Drosophila melanogaster: one gene and its partners. The protein of the gene in region 2 purifies or fractionates together with the protein of the main gene of each other region. This does not show direct contact. Each region holds a gene or a part of one and is shown on either strand. Other genes may lie near its edges. The genes, in order: GstO3, Bacc, Snx3 and CG8036.

Evidence for each region.
Region 1: the proteins of Bacc (region 2) and GstO3 purify together in Drosophila melanogaster (affinity purification with mass spectrometry, with the first as the bait; one large-scale study listed by BioGRID). This does not show direct contact.
Region 3: the proteins of Bacc (region 2) and Snx3 purify together in Drosophila melanogaster (affinity purification with mass spectrometry, with the first as the bait; one large-scale study listed by BioGRID). This does not show direct contact.
Region 4: the proteins of Bacc (region 2) and CG8036 purify together in Drosophila melanogaster (affinity purification with mass spectrometry, with the first as the bait; one large-scale study listed by BioGRID). This does not show direct contact.

The regions. Positions count from the first base shown.
Region 1 is NT_037436.4:8,517,068-8,520,829, forward strand, and holds GstO3 (glutathione S transferase O3), read left to right. Parts: upstream 1-1,817; 5' UTR 1,818-1,886; coding exon 1,887-1,914; intron 1,915-2,444; coding exon 2,445-3,142; 3' UTR 3,143-3,228; downstream 3,229-3,762. Other genes in the region: CG6765 (uncharacterized protein), read left to right, coding at 133-191, 249-350, 405-591; se (sepia), read left to right, coding at 3,523-3,550, 3,607-3,762.
Region 2 is NT_033779.5:2,750,619-2,758,432, forward strand, and holds Bacc (bacchus), read left to right. Parts: upstream 1-1,826; 5' UTR 1,827-2,222; intron 2,223-2,376; exon of another isoform or gene 2,377-2,450; intron 2,451-2,614; exon of another isoform or gene 2,615-2,753; 5' UTR 2,754-2,796; coding exon 2,797-3,042; intron 3,043-5,389; coding exon 5,390-5,552; intron 5,553-5,626; coding exon 5,627-5,676; 3' UTR 5,677-7,302; downstream 7,303-7,814. UniProt on the Drosophila melanogaster protein: Negatively regulates tyramine beta-hydroxylase tbh and thus the conversion of tyramine (TA) to octopamine (OA).
Region 3 is NT_033777.3:12,626,265-12,631,035, reverse strand, and holds Snx3 (sorting nexin 3), read right to left. Parts: upstream 3,006-4,771; 5' UTR 2,693-3,005; coding exon 2,516-2,692; intron 2,148-2,515; coding exon 2,052-2,147; intron 1,815-2,051; coding exon 1,584-1,814; 3' UTR 541-1,583; downstream 1-540. Other genes in the region: Not10 (CCR4-NOT transcription complex subunit 10), read right to left, coding at 1-158, 233-321; Vha55 (vacuolar H[+]-ATPase 55kD subunit), read left to right, coding at 3,515-3,587.
Region 4 is NT_033777.3:8,666,094-8,673,899, reverse strand, and holds CG8036 (uncharacterized protein), read right to left. Parts: upstream 6,033-7,806; 5' UTR 5,864-6,032; intron 5,785-5,863; exon of another isoform or gene 5,692-5,784; intron 5,289-5,691; exon of another isoform or gene 5,195-5,288; intron 4,820-5,194; exon of another isoform or gene 4,726-4,819; intron 4,372-4,725; 5' UTR 4,076-4,371; coding exon 3,972-4,075; intron 3,401-3,971; exon of another isoform or gene 2,995-3,400; intron 2,190-2,994; coding exon 591-2,189; intron 523-590; coding exon 345-522; 3' UTR 198-344; downstream 1-197. Other genes in the region: CG8032 (uncharacterized protein), read right to left, coding at 6,804-6,986, 7,045-7,165, 7,228-7,806.

The DNA of each region.
Region 1 (3,762 bases), on a different chromosome or scaffold from region 2:
TGAGTACTTGGACAGCAACTCATCCCTTTAATAAATCCAAATCTACTGAAGTATGATTTTAACTCGTAGTGATGATCGGTTACCAATATCTATTGGATGTATTAAAACCAGATTATATATTGTGTTTTTCAGCAACAGGAGAACAATATGGATCACGATCACGTAACTCTGCTCTGCGATTTGTGTTCCACGTAAGTGTTTGGAGTTATAGAAGCAAAATATATACTAACTCCCTTTCCCATGTGCAGATCCTTTGATACGCCGGCGGAGTGGGTGCGCCACATGAACAGCCAGCACACGGAGATCGAGTTGGCCATGTTCAACAGCAAGAAGGATGGCGAGCAGAAGGGGTGTGTGTCCTAAGGGCTAGCAAAAGCACACTGATGAACTCTGTTCACTTGCAGCCAGCAGCCACCGCCACCGCCGGCGACCAGCAGCTCTTCCACAGTGTCCAACAGCCAAATGCAGCCAAAGTATCCCAGCTCCACCGCCACCAGATCGACGCACTCCCTCATGCTGCACAAGATGAGCAACAGCGATGCAGTGGCCACAACCACATCTCCTGGAGCATCCACCTCACCGAATGGCTAAGGCCAGCCATAGGGATCAACTTCAAAGAACCATTGGACCATTGGCGAATGAAGCTGAAGGATTCGAAACCGGATGCCCATGGATAAATTTGAAAACAGCCATATTCTTCATTCATTTTCAAAAATCTCAAGTCGTTCCAATAATCAAAAGTGAGATGGATGTTTATATGCAACAGCAAGAACCGTGATCAAAATGCAACCAGTTTGCATATTTTATAGAGCAACAAACAAAATACAAATTGCGAACAAAAAAAAATTAACGAAACTATAAACGAAACTTAGAATGGAAATCGTCAGGCAACGATGCAAAACAAGACAAAGCAAGAAATTCAGAAACGAAAGCAAAGCAACATTTAACTCCAGTGTGTAGAATTTTTTTAAGTGTACGTATTTACTTAGTTTTAGCTATTTATCCCATGTATTTACCGTAACAACAACGCGCAATTGATTCGGGAAAAAAAACGATACAGTTTAATCATTAAATTTTAATGTTTACCATTTGCGGACATTTTTAAAATGAATTAAAAACTAAAAATTAATCATCCACTTGAGTTTTCAAAAGGATGCATCAAAAGAAATCCCATTTGTAGGACCAAAAGCAGCGAAAGGATCTTTTTACATTTTGATAAACAATTAATTCCAGCAGCAAGTGTAGTTGTCATTATTTATTACTTTCCAATTTGGTTTTTCGAATGCAATTACTGATAACAACTATTTATCGCGACTCAATGATGTCAGCAACTCTGTTGTATATGTATTAATACTTTTTTGTATTTTTTGTAAGGCATGAACGGAAATTTCGAGAACTTTTTTGTACATAGATTAAGTTTGATTTCGAAAGTCCGCCGATCGAAACTTTTTACGAAAAGTTCATAAACTTAAAACTCTAAATGTACGTAGTAGTTCCGAGGTTCAATTAAAAACAAAAATAAAGCTCCCCCCAAACCATGTAAAAACAAAATATATCTATATTTACAAACAGGCGTGATTATTAACAAACTAAGTAGATGTACTATGTATAATGCGGAGGAAATGATTGTCTCTTCCCACAAAACAAATCGCAAATGTAGTAAAGCGTTTTAAATCGAAATAAACGTCTGCGATGAGAAATCGTTTTTAAAAGCTAACGAAAACTAAGAGTCACGTCGCAAAAAGCTCGATTATTCTTATTCGCGTTAAAACACAAACAAAAAACTTTATATAAACAGAGCGCCGTCGAAGAGAAAACTCAGTTCGCATTTCACCGTCGACATTTCAACAGTTAAGCGAATTTGTTCAGTTCTGCAATTAAACAAAATGAGTTCTGGTAAACATTTGGCCAAAGGTAAGAGAGCAAGCAAAACCAGTTGTCGCCGCCGCCAAGAGAAACGCCCATGTCATTAGAGTGTTTATAGTATTATTTATAAAACAAGTTCTCCAACATTCAGCGTAATTATCGAATAACGATTTTTATATTTCATAATGTTAAAGAATATTGGCATGAATAACTGGGATTTTTTGGTTAAAAAGTTAGAAAGGTATATTATTTGGTAAATTTCAATACGATCTTTATTCTTTTACAATTGTAGGTAATGCATTAAATTAATTATTTGATTTGTAAAATTTACTTACATTTTTAGCTATAGCTTTCACCCCGATATCAGATAACCCATAATATTTACACTCTAAAAGATAACGTAGCTACAAAATTTGAGCTTTATCACGACTGGGCCCTATCAACATTAACTTAAGTGCAATGACTTGCTAAACAAATAATAATACAGGGGTGGATTTTAGGGTTCCACAAGTGACTCATGAAGTTATTGATTTATTTGTATAACCTAAATTTAACTGGTAAATAAATTCTATCTTTAGGTTCCCCCAAGCCTGTACTCCCTGACGATGGAGTCCTTCGCCTGTACTCCATGAGGTTCTGTCCCTACGCTCAGCGGGCTCATCTCGTCCTGAACGCCAAGAATGTGCCCTATCACAGTGTCTACATCAATCTCACCGAGAAACCAGAGTGGCTGGTGGAAGTGAGTCCGTTGCTTAAGGTGCCTGCCCTGCAGCTGGTGGCGGAGAAGGGTGAGCCCTCGCTCATCGAGTCGCTGATTATTGCCGAGTATCTGGACGATAAGTACCCGGAGAATCCGTTGCTGCCCAAGGACCCATTGAAGCGGGCACAGGACAAGATTCTGCTGGAACGTTTCAGCAGCATCACCAGTGCCTTCATAAACATCCTTGTGCAGGGCACCGGTCTGGAGGATTACTGGACGGCACTTGATATCTTTGAGGAGGAGTTGACCAAGCGGGGCACCCCATATTTTGGCGGCAACAAGCCGGGATTCGTGGACTACATGATCTGGCCCTGGTTCGAACGCCTCTCTGTAATCGAGTTGAAGTTGCAGAAGGAGTACAACTTCAACGAGAGTCGTTTCCCGAAGATCACCAAGTGGATTGCCCTCCTGAAGGCGGACTCGGTGGTGCAGTCCTTCTATGCCACTCCCGAGCAGCACAACGAGTTCTGGCGCACCCGCAAGGCCGGCAATGCAAACTACGATCTGCTGGCTTAGATCGGTACTGAAAATGAAACTATTATATAACAAAGGAGATTTAATAATGTTCTAAAAACAATAAAAACTAAAATATTTTATGTGACAAAGAAATGAATTAAGGCTAGAAAGGCAAGAATTCCGTTCCAGATTCACAGAACGTGGTTCGAAAAACTTAGTTCTTAAAAAGTTTTGTTTTAAACAAATATTTTGGAGCAATATGCAGGTTGCAAGGGGGCTTCACTGTATCCACATGGCTTGGTATGTGTGTCAGCCGCAAGCCACCAAGTTCAGCCGCGTAAGCGAAGCCAACCGGCGAAGGGCAGTGAGCTGCACTTTATAAATCACTCGAATGACAATCGCTATCACCACTTGCATCTCTGGACCCGAGCACGCACATCATGAGTAACGGCAGGCATTTGGCAAAAGGTGGGTAGAGCCAGGAAACCAGGATAATCATAATTGATAATAAATGCGCCCACTAGGCTCACCCATGCCGGATGTTCCCGAAGATGGTATCCTTCGCCTGTACTCGATGCGCTTCTGCCCATTTGCCCAACGGGTGCATCTGGTCCTGGACGCCAAGCAGATCCCGTATCACAGCATCTACATTAATCTCACAGACAAGCCGGAGTGGCTGC
Region 2 (7,814 bases):
TAGCTGAAGCGTCTGGCTATCGATTGTGTTTGCATTGAGATTTGTTCGCACCTTTATGCTACAGCAAATTAATGACGCAACAACGTGTAAGTGCACTGGGAGAAATTCCTGAGGCAGGTCAGTAACGACAACGGTCGGGGAAAAATCCCTTGCGTTAGTTTCGTGTTCGAAAGGGCCATAAAATTTCCGAATCGACAGATGTTTGGGTTCCGGGAAGCAGGACCATCCATCCATTTCTGCCTGCTTGAGATCCTACCTACCCGGTGGTTGCCTGCATTTGAAACCGTTGTCTAACCTTGAAGTAACTACGGTCGTACCAACCAAGCCGATAACTCGAGAAATTGGCACAGGTTGTCCTCAGGAATCTAGATACCATTGTTCAACACCGAGAGGTGGTCTCACAAGCCCGATGAGCACGACTATTCGTATCGCGAGAGACCCACCAATCTTGGGCCGACGAGCGTCAAGCCACTCGAACGGATACTGAGAGTTCGGCGGACGGAAAGTGAGACAGTGACAGCCAGAGAAGAACGGTAGGCGGCCCATGGAAGCACAGCGAAATGGAGACGCAAATCGGCTTATCAGGCAGCGATGTTCAGGCAAAAAGTCATCGCTGCTCCTCAAATATGTGATAACTGAGTGGACGACGGGCCACGATTACAGGTGTTTACGTTCACCATGCCGCCTCGGTTGGGATGCCGCGGAACATGTTCGCCGGTTTTAATTAGCGATCCGCCTGTCGACAGTCGTCCGCTCGCTCTGTCGTCGACCGTATTATTCAGATTACCAGATATATAGCCTAGGTATTCGTATTTGCCATTGCTTTCGCACGAAAATAGCTGAAAGCGTGAGAGGCTGTCCAATCGAAACTCGACTGTTGGATACCCGGCAAACGATAGTTATTACCCTTTCGTCGATAGGCTACTGGAAATAGCACCAAGAACCTTATGTCTTCCGGTCGAATTCCTCTAGTATTACTTTATGGGTTGTTATTCCGCTCGTTAATGTGCACATTTTGAATGAACTTGAAGATCAACCTCGCAGTGATTGTCCCACTGATAACACAGATTTATAGAGAAGAGCCAGTACAACTCGAGCACGTTGACTACCAGGTGATATGGGCGATATGTTATAGCCTACTCGGCAGTTCCAGTTTCCCATATATTGGGCGATTCCTGAACCCACTGGGTTCGTGCGGCGAACGAAGCCATCACCATCAAATGGTCGAACCACAAGTGCGGGATCAACAGAAAGATTGGCACATGAAAAAAGAGTCAAGGGTGGACCCAATTCGACGAGTGATAGGCATTGGCATTTAAGTCGAAGTCTTTGGTGGGGCCATTAGGACTTAAGGATGTTTAATATTTCTGGAAATTGCCGATTTCGAAAACTAACCCTTAAATGTTTTCGAATCTTATGGGGTTGCAAATTGCTGTTTTCTTGCTATTTCTCCAGTTCTCTAATTCTAGTTTTAAGACGCATAATCCCGGAATAGAGCATTTCCCCGATTGCGTGCATCTAAATAGTTAGAATCTCAAAAATAGCTGCCCGCTTTCCTGGTCCGCGAAAATCACCTGCTTCCCCACACGTTACCAATCAATTGACCCCAATCCGCGACGACATTGCGTCCCACGCTGGTCCACTCTATAAATACGAATACCGTGCTGAATACAACACACAGCACACACATCTGCATCTGCGGCAACAATGCTGCAACACTTCTTCCCATCGGCAACATCCACATCCACTGTTCTGCTCTGTTCTGTTCTGTTCCACCGACGAACGGTCAGAACGCCACAGAGTGACTGCACCACACACACCACACACCACCATCGCCGCTACCAACCCCCAGACCCCGCCCCCAGGCCCACAAGCGCACCACTGGCGCGCGCAATTTTCAAATTTACCGCCAAACGCGCCCACAACCGTACTCACGGAACCCAAGCAGATTTTGTATGGAATTAATCAGGAAACCCACTCAACTTGTCATTTGCGGATCTAGTTTTGATCGCAGCGCCTCGGGAAAAAGCCCAAAATTAAGCGGATACTACCAGCTATAGCCTCGATCAGTCTCTGAACCGATCCGAACAAAGGTATTCAAGTTATAGGCAAAAATGTCTGCAACCGATTTGGCGCAAGAAGAAGCAAGCGGCAATTTCTAGCCATCGAACGGACGGCAAGCTCAGTCTTGTACGAACCGTCGACGGGAGCACATATCGGTGGTTAGCAAACCAAAGGAAAACGGATATTCCATACATCAGTGGGGCCTACGAGTAAATCCTTTTGCCTGCCGTAGCGCCGCCTGATATATGGCACCTCCTAAAGCCTTACTATATAGATACTATATTATCAGAAAATCACCGCAAAATAATATACCAAAAATCCAACGATCGCTCTGCTCTGGGCTGTTGTTGTTGTCTTATCGACTGCGGCTGTACAAATGCCGCGGCGATTTTTTGAGTGTATTGTATGGGCCAATGGCGTGGGAGAGAGAGAGCGAGTGAGCGTCGTAACGATTTCGGGGAGAGCGAAAAAGAGAGCAGCGAGAGCGTTTAAAGAAAGTTACTCTCTCCTCGAGAGGCAGTGCTTAAATAGACGGCCCGCAGCTGAATCGCATTCAGTGTGTTTGTGTGCTTCGTTCGGTGCGGTTCTCTCTGTCTCTCTCTCGCCTTCCCCGAGTATTTTGCGCTGGTTTTTTGTCAACAACAAGACAATCCACAAAACCAACCCGAATTGTTCTCTATATAACGCAGAAACTAAATAGTTCCGGAAAACCTCAAAGAAACCAATTCAAATATGTCGGCTGCTACGGAACAACAGAACAACGGCGATGTGGCCGTGGAGAAGGTGGCGGCAGATGATGTGTCTGCTGTCAAGGACGATCTCAAGGCGAAGGCGGCCGCCGAGGATAAGGCCGCTGCTGCCGATGCCGCCGGCGACGCGGCCGACAACGGTACGTCAAAGGACGGCGAGGATGCCGCCGATGCCGCCGCCGCTGCCCCCGCAAAGGAATCCGTGAAAGGCACCAAGAGGCCAGCAGAAGTGAGTACTGATCTATGTGACTAGGTAGTTGTTTACGCGGTAAAACCAAAAGGAGGCCCCTCTAATGATTCACTCCAAGCCAATATGCCAGTAGCATAGCATTGTTCGAGGAAAAATTCTAGAAATAGATATACACACGTTTTTCGGAACAGCGCACTCTCCCAATGGCTTACATATGCCCCCAAAAGAGAGAGCGTATAGCTGGCTCGGTTGTGCGTTTGTGTTGTTTACGATTAACCAAGATGATTGCGGGTCCGGCAATCAAAGATTATTGTTGTTAGGTTCAAATCGAGGTTAGGAGGGCCGCCGTGCTTATATAGGCGGGGAGTACAGTTAGCCAGGGCCTTTTCTTTGGTGGGGTGGGTAATGTGTTTTTAATAAACCCATAGGTCATTAGCATTGACGTGTCCGCTGAACAGCGTTACCCAGCAATAGATACATTGTGGCATTACGTCTATAACTCATACGCTTGGCCTTATTTATCAGTCGCTGTGGCTACGGGAATTGCAAATGCAAACGCAAACGCAATTCAGCGCGATGCCAATGCACTCTCTCAATGAAAACACACATTGCCGGCCGGTAAATTACTCATGTCATGTTTGGCCACTTTATTTTTGGTTAGTATCGCCAAGAGCACGCGGTATTCGAACAAGTTTTGGGGGCCTGAAGCAGTCGCATTCCATAATCGAGTAGCACATTTCTTGATAAAAATAAAATAGTTCGGCCAGTAAGGCAGATAAATTGGCAAATCAAGCGCTTTTCTCAGACTCAAACTCGAAATAAAAATGTACAGTTTAACGGGAGCGTTCTCTCGCTCTCTCTCTCTCTCCCCGGAGAAAGATAGATACAAATAGAGAGCGCTGCTAACTCTCTCCCTCGTAATTTGTATACACACCGTTTTGTCTGTTTGCGTATGTGCTTACATTTATCTTTCACTTTTTTTTCTGCTCTGCCTTATGCGTATTTATTTTAGTACATAAAACAAGACGGCTAAACAGGGTGTCGCAAAAGTTAGTTGGGTTTCTTCGGGATTCAATTGAATAATGATCATTATCCCATGATCATGAATTAGTTGAGATACGTTTGGCACGGATAATTCTTAGTGGTACAGTAACGAATTGTATAGATTTCAAGAATAGTTTTGAAAATTATTCGTTGGTTTCCATATCTTTCGATTCCAAACAACAGATTAGCTTTTGTCCCTATAAATGTATCTTCACGCTTAGAAAACACAAACTAAAACCTCTAACTAAATCAAGATACATTGATTACCCAGTTATAACACCAGTAATAGTAGGCTTAGTTCTTGCCAATACAGATACACCCTGTTCGTCTTAATCCTCTATTGGCCTTTTCTCGAGTTCTGGGTCTCGTGACTTATGCTGTAAGCGAAGTGAAAAAGGGGGGCGATGGGTGGCCATTAATTTTGCACATTTTTCCACAGTCCGATTGTTTTTCGCTTCTTCCGCTTTGTAACAGTCTGGTAAATAGGGCCCTTGTGTTGCGGCTTCTCTTCGACTTGGGAACGTGACCGCCTATATACTGCCATAAACCATATACCATTATGTGTATCTTGTTGTTGGTTGGTCAGCGGCAAAAGTTAAACCCACGCATGTTGTTGTTTTGCGCCTTTTTCGCTGCCGACGTCGCTGCAGCAGCTGTCGTTCGGATGGCTGTGAGTGAGAGCGAGAGATTCATTCATGCAGTTCAGGTACAGTTTACAGTGCTGCGGATTCAGATGCTCTCTCTCTGGCGCTCTCGCCCGCTCTCTATCTTACAGGGCACGCTTCGTTTCGTATCTCACGGATGCGGATACATATGTCGCTGCCGGCGTCGCTGCTTATTGTTTTTTTTTCCTTCCCCCTTATGTAGTAAATATGTCGCCTTGTACATACGGAGCACAGATGTAATGTAGCGCGGTTGCACTTGTAATCCACTCTCTCACGTACTCTCTCTCCCGCTGTCTCTTTTTGCCGCAGCGAATTACATTGGCGCGCGCATTTTTCAAATGTTTTTTTACGGCGAAAATAACGATTTTCGTCGCTGCTTGTTTTGTGTGCTGAAAATATACATTTTATGACTATGTACACACGCACAGGAAGTTGAGAGGGGTATTGGATGCCCTTGATCAAGGAGATGTGTGGGTTTGAGTTGGGCGCGTAGGACCATTTCGCTCCGTAATTCTCCCTAATATCCTTTAGTTTGTTTCTCAGATTAATATCAAAAATGCATAATTAATAGTGACGGGCCCCTTATTTCTGTTCAATAAACTTGCTTGTAATACAGTAAATCATCAGCGGAACAAAAACCAAAGGAACTCTACTAACTTCTCTTTTTTCGCTTCCAGGCCAAATCCGCAGAATCAAAGAAGGCCAAGAAGGCCGCGGCCGCCGATGGAGATTCCGATGAGGAAGAGGCTCTGGAGGAAATCATCGAGGGCGACAGTGAAATCGAGAGCGACGAGTACGACATCCCCTACGATGGTGAGGAGGATGACATTGAATGTGATGGTGAGTTCACGGAAGCACTTCCCTTTTCCACATCAATCTAATCCCCGGATTTTCCCTTTCCCTTACCCGCGCAGATGATGATGATGATAATGATGACGGTTCCGGCTCGGACGATCAGGCGTAATAATAATGTAGTCAAAAATACAAACAAAAACAAACAAAAATTTAAATTAATAATAAATAAAAGTTACAAGCAAAAACAAAACAAAAAAAATATAATAATAAACCAACAAGCAGAAAATAAACCACAACAAGGAGAAAATGAGGAGGAGGAGGAGAAAAAAACCACAAAAAAATCGCAAAAGTATATAATTTTTATGTTTAAGAAATAATTTTTTATTTCTTACCTTATTTTAATTGTATTTTATGTGTACTTTTTTTATAAAAAACTACAAAACAAACAAAAATTGTAATTGAAGGCATTTTCGTATAAACGCAACCTATACGGAATCCAACAAAAAGTAAACATCCCCACTATATACAAGAACAAAACAAAACCAAAATCTTTCTTTCCTTTATCTCATAAGTCCTAATTTAAACGCCCAGTTGATGCGTAAACCAAGATATACAAAGATTTCAAATGTAGCGTAAACGAAGCCCGCGAATTAAACACAGATACACTACACTCACACACACACACGATATTCAAATTCATTATTAAATTAGACGTTACATTTGTGAATGAATGATCGATCGAAAGAAGCAAAAATACAAAAGTGAACATTTGAAAATGAACATGATTATGAACATGAAAAAGAAACAGCAAATGCAATTAAATACAAAACAAATAAAACATAAAAATTGTATTTAAATAAATCGCAAAAATCATTGAAACCCCATACTCGACAAGCATTCAATGACACTCAAGTTTTAGCTATGGTTTCAAAAATTTCGCGCCCATTGTGGCCACAGTCACCCGAATTTCCCAAACCCAAGGCACTGGGACTTAGTTGGTCTTCGCTTTTGGGGCAAATACAAAAAAAAAAAACAAAAAAAAATGAAAGGAAAACATCGGGAAGTTTGAGTTCTAACCTTCTGTTTCGTTTCAGCATTTAACTATAAACTATGACTAATCTTAAGTACTTATGTCAGTATTAAAGCGAGGGCTTTATTATTCTGTTGATAAGTTGTGCGAGCGAGTCGTTGATAAGCCTAATTCATTTGTAAATTGTAAAAACCAACTCGAGAATCGAAAAACGAGCAAGAAAATAAACTTTTAATGTTACATGTATCTAATTAGTAAGGGCATCCAAACTATTTATACACACACCCCGTACGACGAGTTCTCAATATAAACATATAACGACTGATATTTCAAAACGAATCGTGCCCAGCTGGTCAATCACGGCACTCGACACCGAAACCACCCAACCACCACCATCCTCGAATCTAAACGATTTGTCCCGGAAAGACAGACCAGCCCAACATACACACACAATCCACCCACTGACCCAGATCCAAACTCCAAGAGGCTTAAAGCTGGTAATGCCAACCAGCAACTGAATAATTGAGTGCAATTAAACCAATATGCCCAAGATAAATCATCCGATTTGATAACTGATAAACAATAGCGATATCACAGACAATGTTAAAGAACTATGCATTTTTGTAAATACCAATTACTCATGTATCTGCTCCGTGCGAGAATAACATCTAGTAGCGCGAAAGGGCAAAAAGAGAAAAGAACCACGAATCGAAAACGAGAATAAGAAACAATTTTGAACGATGAAATAAATTATTGTAATTACGTAAAAGCGAAAACCGTACGTACATACCACCCATTTGGCATCTGTTCCGATGCCAATAAAAGTTTGTTTCAATTGCAGTTGGCCATTTTGGGTGGGGCAATCACCTCGCTTCGGTGTTCCCAGGGGTAGTAGTTCTTAGCCAGGAGCATGTACGTATGTAGGTACATAATTCATAGATTGGCCGCCCCTACATTACTCCGATCCATCCCTTCCATATCCCAGTTTTCGTTCGGGGGTTGACGAGCTGGTTCCCACAATCCTCCCTATGAAAGAAATCATATACTAAGGGATGATGGAAAAATTCAATCGGAAATTTCCTTTGATTAAGTACCTTTTTCGGATTGAAAATCGATTAGCCTTAGCAGATGCCTATTAAAAAAACGAATGATGAAATTCCGGGCTCTTCGTTGGGCAAATGAAGTTGAGCTACTTTTATATTCAAATTCAAATATAAGCGCAAAAATTTCTAAAAGTTTAAGAGCTTTTAAGTTTCATAAGCCATTTCTTTCATTTA
Region 3 (4,771 bases), on a different chromosome or scaffold from region 2:
CGGTTAGAGCCTCCAGTTCTTTCAGCAGGACGGAGTGTTGGGTGCACCCGGTTTTGTAGTAGCTGACCACCGCCCGGTTGTGCCGCAGGACAGGACCACTGCTCTCGCCGCGCGTCTCCAACTCCTGGAGCAGTTCCAAGCAGCGATCAAACTCCGAGCTAGAATGAGGAGCAGCCGGAAAGGAGTGGCGGTTATGGGTGCACTTCCCGGTGACACGCGGATGAACACTCACTTGTTGAACTGCTCGTGCGCCTGGCACAGCAGACTGTAGTTCTCGTCCTCGCCGGCCTGCGTTTTGGTGGGGGATTCCGCCGAGTCCATGCCAAAAATAAATAAAAACAAAAAAACCGAACCAATCCACAGATGACACAGCGTTGCCAGAATCAACAAGCACAGCGTTGCCACTTTTAACCGTAACTAAAGCGGTTAACCTTATTAATAAATAAGTTAATTCTTAACATTAAACAACTTGTTAAATTTCTTGTTAATTTATTAATTAAAAATTAAATTGTTAATATGAACAAATTAAAATATATTCTATATAAAATTTTAACTTTACAATGGTCAAATTGGCATTTTGCTGTCGATAGGTGGCAGCACATCACTAGTCTAGATTTGCAGCGCGCGAAACCTATACCTTTATTTCAACTGAGACTTTTGTTTGTGATGATATATAATATTTAGAATAATAAAATATCCATTTATCGTTTACAATTTTTGATCCACCTACCCACCCAACTGTAATTATCCTTGCATTCAATCGAAGTTTCCTGTTTCATCATATTGTTATTAATCCTCGCCTGGTTTATATGATGGGAACTACATAGATTCAACATCGACCAGTTGAAGAACAAACTTCCATCCCGCAGAATTGGCTAGGAAAAAGGCTAATATTTTATACAAAACTCAACTTAATCTTCAGTTGCGCATCATTTTCAAGCACATTCAAATAATATCAGCAGTTCAATATTTTTGAATTATTTTAATTTGATTCGAAGTACAATATTATTCACTAAACTGTTTCAAAATATTCAATAATTTGCATACACTTACAAGGGATCGATTTTGGGGTCAGGATGGCTCCCTTATTTTATTTGCTGCTTCATTACCGCTGCAATGGTTCAAAACGAAGAAACTGAGGATCGGGAAAATGGGAGGGGCAGCTCCTACTTTCGAGACTCATTTAGCGAGGGCGTAGTAGGCATGTCTTATGTACACTATTCGTAAATATGTGTATTGTGTATAATATATATATATGTGTATGTATATTGTTATGTATACCATATAAACTTGAATTTAGCATTAAAAATTCCCAATGCTGGTTTTTAACTAATCCCCGGGGGCTGAGAGGGGCTCAACATTAACTGAGCAGCAGCACTTCCCGCCTCGTATCGCGTCGCATAACAGATCCCTTCTCCACCAACCTACATCATCGCTCATCTGCTCCATCCTCCTCCAATCCGGGCAAGCACACACATTCACACGGCTTCCCATAAAGATTTCGTAGCAGGTTTGTTCGTTCGAGTTTTTGCTTCATTGCATTGCTATGGTTAGGGGGTTTCGATTGCGCCGGACTAAGCTGCTTATGTGTTCCGAATCTTGCCGGGCACGTAGTTCTTATCTATGACATTCTCCTGCAGGAACATATGCAGGCAGCGCTCGTTCTGCGCCAGCGGATGTCCGGCTATCTTGTTGATGAAGGCCTCCAGTCCCTTGCGCCGCTCCTCGATGAAGCTTTCGTCAAAGATGCCCTCGTCGCCGCGGAAGGGCATCTGCCGCTTCCATGCCTTTCCTGGGAGTGGTGGCACCACAATCTGCGGGGATATGTATGTTCATGATTAAATACTCTTCAGGCGCTTATCGAAGTTTCCGTTTTCACTTATAAAACTCAGGGTTAAGTTTCCTCTTAAGGATTGAAACTTTTCTAGTGGCTTCTTATAATTACAATGTATTGTTTCGTAATTCTATCTAAATAGATTCTGAATAGTGCGGATTTTGAATCTATTAAAGTGAAAACGAAAGACTACCGCCTGGATCACACTTGTCCGTACCTTGCTATCCCGCTCCAGCTCGTTTCGCAGCCACTCAAAGTCGCTGTAGCGTCGCCTGACACTGGACTCCTTTACCTTAAAGACGGGCAGATTGGTCTAAAAAAGGAGCGATGGTTAATCATATGTGGTGGCCAATCTTATAGAGTAATTCAATGAAAGGTCGGTGCCGCATAAAGGCACCCGCATGCCGCATTTCCGTGACTCAAGCCGTGACACTGGAATCAGTGCTCTGCACTTGTGACTAATGTTTATCGGCCGGCTCGCTTTATAGGCGTATCACCCGCACTCACACACACACACACACACACACACGCACGCACACACACATGCACAGCGAGACAAAGTCGCACGAACACATGCACACAAGTGTGTGAGCGAATTCCAGCGATTATCAATGGTTTTTTCGGTGAATTTTGGAAGGTGCATAGGTGGTGCCCCCATGTACATGTACTACGATCACTCACCCGCATCCGGACCTCGTAGTCCGTGTAGCGCTTCTTGCCCGCCGCCATGGTGGTCAGCGGATTGACCACGTCGATCTCCAGGAAGTTGGCGGGCACGGCGTACGCATCGTCCAGTGTTTGCTTCTTCACGTTTAGGCGGCGGGTGGCGTCGGCGGTTCCATCGGACTCAACCATCATAGTGGTGCAATGCCAGGGGCTCCGGATCGGCAGAGCTATAGACGCCCCTTTTATCGGTTGGAAGAAACGGGTTTTGCACTGGCTATCTCTCTTTGTGCACTTCTTTGTCGCGGCTCGCTGCCTCCGATGTCCCGGATTCTGGTACTATTCAATTGCTGTCCCCGAGCACTGCTTTGTTTTACTTTCTGGGTGTCCAAGTGCCGCAGCGGGTAAACAACTTTTGTAATTTAATTAAATTTGTTCCATTAAAAAACTTTCCAATAATTAACAGAACTGTGCTGTGTGAGTTAACAGTAGGGGTGGTACAAATCAATGCTTCCAAATTTATCGATAACATACGGCGATATGGCAGCTCTCTGTGGGTGAAAAACACTGCTAACTCCAGTGTAGGTAAACAGACTTGTGAGTGCGTAGCTGCCATACCGATTTCGTCACCGGTTCATTTGATACCATATGGCAATGTGGCAGCCCTGCTGCGGTGTGGAACTCCACTAAATGGCAACACTAACAATTAGTGTTGTAAAGCGCGCGAAACGGAAAGTTCCTAACGCGTGACGGGTCATGTGACGGCACGTGACGTCACAGCAGATTCACATTCAGCAATACTTTCAGTTCCAGGGCAATTTTTCATCGTACTCGCAACGACTTCGCAGGCCAAAATTTTGCGTGTGTGTCGCTCAGTACTGTTTCGTAGCTGAAAAATTGTATGTGCTTGTAAAAGACCACGTCCGAATAGTGGCTAAAAGCTAAAATCGTATCTAATTGCAGCTCGAAATTTGCAGTGCACTTTCAAGGTAGAGGCGCAGAAAAAGTCTATCCAAGATGAACGCCCAACAAGCCCAGCGGGAACATGTCCTCGCCGTCTCCCGGGACTTTATCTCCCAGCCCCGCTTGAGTGAGTAATCCACGGAATTTGCAAATAAGTGAAATATCAAGAAATGCATTCGCAACCCAATCAAGTGACCGAAAAAAAAAACCCAATAAGAAAATGCCAAGAAAGTCCGCCATGACAGTTTGCACGAATCTGGTGTGAGGCGAAGTAGAGAAAAAATCAATAAATTCTTGCGACACCCACAAAAACACACAATTAACAACGTAACAGAATGAAACCTATAGAATAATATTTCATATAGAGCTTTAAATGTTCTACGCTGATCAGATCGTAATGGGGAGCAGCCCATAATCATGGTTAACGCTTATTGAAAATTTTCGCCGTCACATGACCGTTCGCTGCTCAGCTGTTTGCGTTTGCCATTCAAAGCTGAACGCACACACTTAAAGGCACCTGACTGCGAACGGGGTGGGTGGCATAACTGACGATTGATCGGTTCGGTCGATAGAGAGAATTTCAATGTTTTTTATGTTGGCTGTATTCATGTGTCAAATTAGTAGCCATTGTAGATAAAAATATAGTTGCATTGTTTTATGCAGCCAGTCAGTGTAGGCTTGTCTTTTAATGCAATTTATATATTTATCTTCGCTGCATATTTCAATCCCTTTTTCCTATCTAATTCCCATAAGATTCCAACTGCAGCTCGTGGCAAGGGCTAAAAACCAGTTGGACAGTCAGCTGACATAATTTAGCCTCCCAGTCAACACCCCCCTCGCGCCTACACTTTTCTTTTGACGTTTGCTTTCTTATCAGATTCCGACTTTCATGTGAGCATTGCGCGACTCGTGTTTTTGTTGGAACTTTATCTAATTGGAAGACGAAGAAAGCAATGTGCTACAAAGTAAAATTATTAAAACTTCGTTTTTATTGAAAAAAAAGTGATTAAAAGAGAAACAAATATTGAGCTGCCCTTTTAGTATATTATTTCCAATGACATCTATAAAAACAACTTAATTGTAATTTTTTTTAAAAAAAGATCCCAATTTTTATGGTCACTTCAGTGATTTAATTAATGACCTCATGGACATTGCAACAATTAAGAAGTAGTTTTGGGTTTGACAATATTAATTTAATAAGACATGAATATAATATAAACTAATGAAGCAACTTTTCTGAGCTTTAAGTTTTCTGATATCGATGAGCTGATAAAGAAAGGATCCGCATATCTGTTGTTTTCTATAGTTTAA
Region 4 (7,806 bases), on a different chromosome or scaffold from region 2:
CATAGCAAATCCAGAGATAAACCAAAGCAAAACCACAGCAAACTAAAAACAAACCAAAGCAAGTCTAAAGCAAACCAAAGGCAAACGCAATGAAATCGTCCAGCCATTTTAAAGGCATGCTTAACATGTAATAAGTAATATAGTAAATAAGTAATATAATATGTAAATAAGGTATATAGTTCGGCTTAACTATTTTTATTAAAGATATTTTATTTCCATGATGTAAGGTTCAAATCAATGAAGCAATTAACAATCTTAGAGGGAATGGTAATATTGGAAGTAAGTAGTAACTGGGGGAATTCCTGTAGGCGGTAAATGAATGTAGCCAGATCACGACTGGTCCCCTAATCCTTGAGGATCTCGTTAACGGCGTTGACGACGTGACGTGCGGAGATGCCGAACATATCGATGAGTACCGACGGAGGACCCGAACGTGGCACGGTGGGCACGTACAAGTGCTTGACAACGAAGTTGCGCTCGCCAGCCAGGGCACTCAGCACAGCTTCACCCAGGCCTCCTTGCCTATAAGAAATTAAGTAAATTTCAAGTTAGCAAAGGAGGCAAATAAAAAGACTACAAAGAACACTTACTGGTAGTGATCCTCCACGACGACTACGCGTCCTCCGCACTGCTTGCCGTGCTCGATGATCAGCTCGGCGTCCAATGGCTTCACGGTGAACGGATCGATCACACGGACGGTGATGCAGTTCTTCTCCAGCTGATCGGCGGCAGCCAGGCACTCGTACAAAGTGATTCCAGCTCCGATCAGAAGCACCTCGTCGGAGCTCTTTTGGCGCACCACCTTGCCGCGGCCAATGGTGAAGGGTTCCTCGTTGTCGTAGATCACACAGGTGTTGGGACGGGACGTACGGATGAAGCAGACACCCTTGGTGTTGGCGGCCAGTTCGACGGCACGCTCCGTGCTCACTGCATCGGAGGGATAGAAGATGGTGCTGCCCGGAATGGTGCGGAACATGGCAATGTCCTCCAGACCCATCTGCGAAGGACCATCCTCACCGATACTGCAGCCGCAGTGGGAGCCCACAAAGTTAACGTTCGTCTGCGAGATGGCGCCCATACGGATCTGATCGAAGGCACGGGTGAAGAAGGTGGCAAAGGTGGACACAAAGGCCACAGTGCGGCGACGGCAGGCGGCTCCAACGGCCACTCCCACAAGATTCTGCTCAGCGATGAAGCACTCAATGTAGCGCTGCGGGTCGAGGTTCTTCAGCTTGTCGGAGAAAGTTGAGTTCTTGGTGTCTCCGTCTAGGGCAACAACACGCAGGTTGTTCTGGCCAATCTTGGCCAGAGCTGTTCCATAGGCCAAACGGGTGGCAATGGAATCACCCAGCTTGTAGGCGGGTGGCGAGCTCAACTTAATGTTGTTGATGTCCACGTCGGGAGCAGCACCAGTCTTGGGCACCGGCTTAGGGGTCAGCTTGACGTTCTTGTTGACAATCAGTCCCTCCAGATGCTTCACCACTTCGGCGGCCTTGTCGCCCAGTGGCTTGCCGTGCCAGTTGTCCAAATCCTCGATGTTGGGGAAGTCCCTGCCCTTGAACGTCTTTGCAATGATGGCGGTGGGCTTGTTCTTGGTGATTGCAGCACAATGGAAAGCCTTGCTCAATTCCTCGACATCATGACCATCGACAACGACGGCATTAAAGCCGAAGGCCTCCAGACGATCACGGTAAACATCCAGCTTATGCTGCAGGGAGGTGGCCTCCGACTGGCCCAAGCGGTTCACATCAAAGATCACGCAAAGGTTGTCCAGTTTATAGTGGCCGGCAAAGTGCAGCGACTCCCAGATGGAACCCTCGGCGGACTCACCATCACCCACCACCACGTAGGTGCGGTAGTCGGCCTTGTCGAAGTTCTTGCCCACATAGGCCATGCCAGCGCCGACGGCGACACCCTGTCCCAGGGATCCAGTGCCCACATCGATGAAGTTCAGACGAGGCGTCGGGTGACCCTCCAGATCGCTGTCGATCTTGCGCAGGTTGTTCAGATCCGCGATGGGGAAGAGACCAGCCTCAGCCCAGGCGGCATACAGAATGGGAGCAGCGTGTCCTTTGGACAGGATGAAGCGATCGCTGGAGGGATCGCGTGGGTGCTTCAGGTTCAGGCGCAGCTGCTGGAAGAACAGCACGGACATGATCTCAGCGATCGAGGCACATGATGTGGGATGGCTATAAAGAGGGAAAAGTAGGCAAAATATTAGATTGTGACAAGGCATTTCGTTTGCATGTAGTTCTAGGTTAAGGTAAGTGCCTAATGAATTATAGAAGTCGACCTCACGGTGGGTAAGTGAAGGCCGATCAACAAAGGAAAAGTGGAACTGAACACTGTGCATACTTGTTAAAAACGTTGTTTAATAAAAGAAATCCATTTGTCTATTGAAGCTTTTATTTAAACCCCCCCCCCCCCCTCTGTTCATATTTCAAATGAAGATTTCTCGAGTATCCAATTGCAATGTACATATAAATAAGATAAGATCCATTCTTGGAATTCAATGTTCCCATGCGATCGTGTTCCAAAAAAAATTGCTTTGAATCGCAGATCTGGCACAACTCCAACCGCAAAGAAAACACGCAACCCCAGACAAAATGGGGGGCTCGTCTTACCCCAGACATATAAATAAACTATAACGAGTACATGCATATGTATTTATTGGCGTTATATGGTGTGATATGTGTGTTTGTCGCGACGTGAGTCCATCGCAATTCCTCACCGGTTTCTGGGACCTTGAACTTTTCTGATCACCAAAAAACCTAAATAATAGCCTTAAAAACCAAATTCTTGGCTTCCACGATTGTGTTGCATGGCGATCTTTGTGAACGCACGTGCTTCTAGATAGTTCCGAAGTGCGTCCCCGTTTCCTGCAGCCATATCAAGAACTATTGAAGGTGATACGGAGTGTTAGCAGTGACCCGGCGCGCTTTTTTTTTTTTTATCAGTTTTCAGTGATTTTCGATTATCATGCGGGGAACACACTTGAGCTGGTCACCTCTAATCGGTCATATCGTGGTCAATGAGTAACCAAACCGGGCTTATCTCGTCGGCAGAGGTCACATTTAGAGCAAACAGAGCAGATCTTATCTTGAACCGTCACAAAAAAAAAAAAAAACGAAACAGAATGGAAAAACTAATGGAGGCGATAAAAGTGTTTTCCTTATCAGCATAGTAACTTTTTTATTTACTGTTGCAGTAATAATTTGATCGCGTCTATCCGAGATATAATTACATTAAAAGCCATACAGTCGTAAATCTCAAGTGTAGGGGATCATTCCATTACTATTCTCATCCCTCTCTTTCCAATTCCACTCCCGTCACAAGCTGTGCTTTCCAACACTTGTATGTACATATGTACATACGTATATTAAATGCCTCTGTTTGATATGTAAGTATGTTTGTTTTTACCCCATGTACATATGTATGTGCTTTCGGCGTTTTGAACGCCACGCACAAAACAAAAGCAAAAGAAATTAAAAGGCAGTAAGAAAAACCTAACGTTTCAAGGTTGTCTAAGGTCAAAAAATATTAGCTCACAATTTAAGGTAGGTGAACGCGGCTTATCACTGAGCACGCAGGCAGGGCAACAAATTCGCAAATTCACTAAAGCTACTGGACAACACGTGGGTTGGCAACTGAATCCCAGGAGGGGTCACTAAAGGAACCGGTCTTCCCATATTTTACTTCTCACATTCATACAAACATAGATGCATAACTATGTATATGCGTAACTATTTTTGTTTTATTTTCTTTTGTAATGTTTCAAAACACATACATATGTATGTATGTATTTAGCAGCCCCCTCAAAAACTTTTTCGCACCCACCCTGGAAATGGAGGGGGTCACCTTTGAAGCAACAAGTGCAAGGTGCACAACTTTTAAAATTCACATCTACACAAACAAATCTAAATACGCACACTTTAATATGCCTATGGACTTTCAGTTATTGATAAACTTACCCCGATTTGGAGGCCTGGGTGGCGTTGATAGAGTGAATTCGCAGTTTCTGGGCCAGATCTTTCAGATCCTGGACGGTCTTAGCTTCGGGCTTGTGGTACGACATCTTTGAAATGCGAATGTAAATTGGATCCGAACAAATGCGGTTTTTGATATGTTGCACAACAAAACTCGGGAGTTTCGGATTCGTTAGCCAAAGGGTGACTCCTCTATGTTTGCAATAGACAGACAAGAGTATCGACGTGGTGGATAAGTAGCTCGAGTCGGAGTTATCAACGGACCACTGCTGCCGGCTTCTGGGAACGAACTGCTCTCGTCGCCGGCACTTCGGTCGCTTTTACGCTGTGGGGGCTCAATCTTGGGAGCGGACTCGCAAAGTATCGGTATCGTCTATCGTCGGCGCTGGAACGAGATGGATATATGTATAAATATGGCATCTTTGCTCGCACACCACCCCTTTATCGGTGCACAGCTGTGGGTGGGTAACTAGTTAGTTTCAAATAGTGCATTGCTGCCTTTCTAAATTCATGCACAATTTTGGTCTAAAATTAAGCCATGAACAGTTGTACCTGAATATTTTCTCATTAAGATTTACAATGCTTTAGTATTTAATATAAGTTTACAAGAATTTAAGGTCCTATTTTTCTGGCCGCGAGTATTAAAGAGCAGCGGTGTTTAAGAGAAGTGCCCTCTCTTTTTGTCACTTTCCCCACCTCGCTCCTGAACAAAAGGTGAATTAGCCGCAAGCGAATTTAACCTTCGATAGCTCAGTTGGTAGAGCGGTGGACTGTAGTTGGAAAAACATGCAATAGAAATCCATAGGTCGCTGGTTCAAATCCGGCTCGAAGGATCGAAAAGATATAAATACCTTTTTTTTATATATTTTGTAGTGCACATACCTTTTTTTTTATATATTTTGTAGTGCACAATTTAAATCAATTTAATTCATCTACAGACATTCAGAATATAACTGAGCTGTTTAAACTAAATAATATAAGAAGGATTTTATTTGGAAGAAATAAACCGTAACTAAATTGATATAGTTTGTGAAAAGCGCCTAGGCTATTAGGCTTGGAAACTATAGGCTTACTGCAATGGACTGAATAGAGAAAGTTGATCAATTTTGTTTGACCTAAATAAGTAAAAATCAAAAATAAATAACCAAATACGGTGCATTTCGTTTGTGCGCATGCATAAAACGAACAACGGCCAAGTTTGAACTCAACCTTCGATAGCTCAGTTGGTAGAGCGGTGGACTGTAGTTGGAAAATTATGCAATAGAAATCCATAGGTCGCTGGTTCAAATCCGGCTCGAAGGATTTTTTGTAATTTTTTGTAATATCCAATTCGTTTTTGTTTTTATAGTAGCACCCGTACCCCATAAAAAATATATAAAATAGTATGCAATTATAAACATGTAGATGCAAAAGACATTTTATAAACACAATGTTATATAAAATGAATAATAATTTGAAGAATATCAATTTTAAAAACACGTGAAAATGAACATGTCTTACTTTACGCGTACATCAATATATTATTTAATTTTAGCTTAGCAACAATCAAAAGAAAAGGTATTTGAACGACATGGCATATGCTGTCCGTGACCTCAATCCATTAAAAGCTAAAATACGCATTAATTAAACCGATTACCAACAAAAGTTTATTGAAGAGTCGCGATGAATCGGATACCCGTTGTTTAACCTACTCCCCAGCACGCCCCCTTCGATAGCTCAGTTGGTAGAGCGGTGGACTGTAGTTGGAAAACATGCAATAGAAATCCATAGGTCGCTGGTTCAAATCCGGCTCGAAGGATTTTTTGTCGAATTTTTTACAAGCCATTTTTAATGCATTCTTGAATTCAGCTTAGTCAATCCTTTTCATTTCCACCTACCTTATCCTTATTAGCTTTTTTACCACACCTTAGCTAAGTTCGAGTAAATGTATCCACAAAAAATTTACGAGTGCAATGCGAAAGACTTTCAAATAATTTAGGATATCTACATATGTTTTGAATTATAGACTTTTGTTGGCCTAAAACCAAAAGCACAACTTGATTTTTATAATACAGATCTCTCCCCATCGTTAAAAAATCAAAACTTTCTTCGACTTGTGTTTTACTATTTAAAATTATACATTTTCATTCAATAATTTATTTATTTAATTTATTTATTTATGCGTACAAGTCGATATTTTTGTCACAAATACAAATAAATATGCAGATCCAAGTGTTAGAACGGACTTATGAATACCAACTTTTCCTTTTCCGCCTTAAAGAGTCAACCAATGCATAATTTAGTTAGCAAAATAGTTAACGTTAACAATAGTTACTTTCAAATATACATTAGTTGCACTCATTGTTCGATCGTCTTAGTGTCAACCTTTTGGTGCAACCTTTTCTACGTTAAATACGAATTTATAAAAATAGGCAATATATTTGTATTCATACACTTATGGTTGCTAATCGGTAATTAGGTCTAAACAACATTATGTCTTTGTGCACACTTTTTCGTCCAAGTACAGTGAAAGCTGCTGCGGGTGCACGGTCTGTTCGAGTTGGCAGCACATTGATCAGCTCAGCTAATTCGTAACTTTTATTTATAGTAATGTACAAGCGGGTTCCAAATAAATTACAAAATAATTGCATCAACAAAATAAAACAAATGCTCACAAGGGATGTACAAAAATGAGTTAAATCGTTTTACGACGCTAGCAAAATAAATTACAATCGAACAAATTAAATATCACTAGCTAAAAAGCGTTTAAAGAGTGTACAAAATAACGTTAATAAATTATAATACAAAATCGATGAGTGGTCGTTGATTAGCTTAGACTCAGTCCAGGGCAATGCCCTGTATCCAGGCGCTCAGATCACTGCCGTCCGACTCCATGATGATTTCGTCTGGCTCATCGCTCGCCAGCAAATGCTGCGCTGCCGTCCGTCCGCTCAAATAGGCGCCGTGTACGGTAGAGTAGAAACTGGAATGGGTGTGCTCTCCGGCAAAGACTATGGCGGGCTGGGGAAATATATTAAAATGTGAACAATTGCCGGGGAAGCAAGCTTGTAGAACTGACCTTCATGGCTTGGGGCGTGGCATAGAGGGGCTGGGCGAGGTTCTCGATGTCCTCCTGAGTTGCGCCCACCGGTATTGAGGTGTATGCGCCACCGGTGAAGTCCTGCGACTTCCAACTGGTACTACAAATAGATTTTTCTTTAATATACAACATTCTTAACCAAATAATGTTTCTTTGCCTTACCAAACACATCGCTTTGGCTTGGGCACGTAAGGATCCTGCAGAAAGTTCCTAAGTATTTCCGTACACTTTTCAGCCACTGCCTCATGGTCGAGCTTCTCCATGTACTCCGCCTCCCGGCCCGAGACCCAGCCCAAGAGCAGCGTGTCCGTCACCTTGGCAAACGAATATATCTTCTTGAACCAATTCTTGCTGAGATACGCTTCGCTGGCCAGCTCCTCCTCGGAGCTGTTCATATCCCGCTTATCGTCGTCCCACAATAGCATAATCTCTGATATATCGGCACTGAGGAATGGTCGCTCGTACTCCAAGAAGATCTTGTCCACGGTGCCGAACATGAGATTCTCGATGGACTCCTGTTTGTACTGCGGCAGCACAGGATCGAAGAGAGTGCGATGGGTGTTTTTCAGTACGCCTAGCGGTATGGTGCATATCACATGGGCTGCATGGAACACTCGACCGTCCTCGCAATCTATGCGCACGTTGCCTGCAGGATAATCACAATTGCTGCTGGTGTTGGACTCCACGGAGGCGCCACGAATTTCCCCCGTCGGCACTTCCGTCACCGTTCGTTCAGAGTCG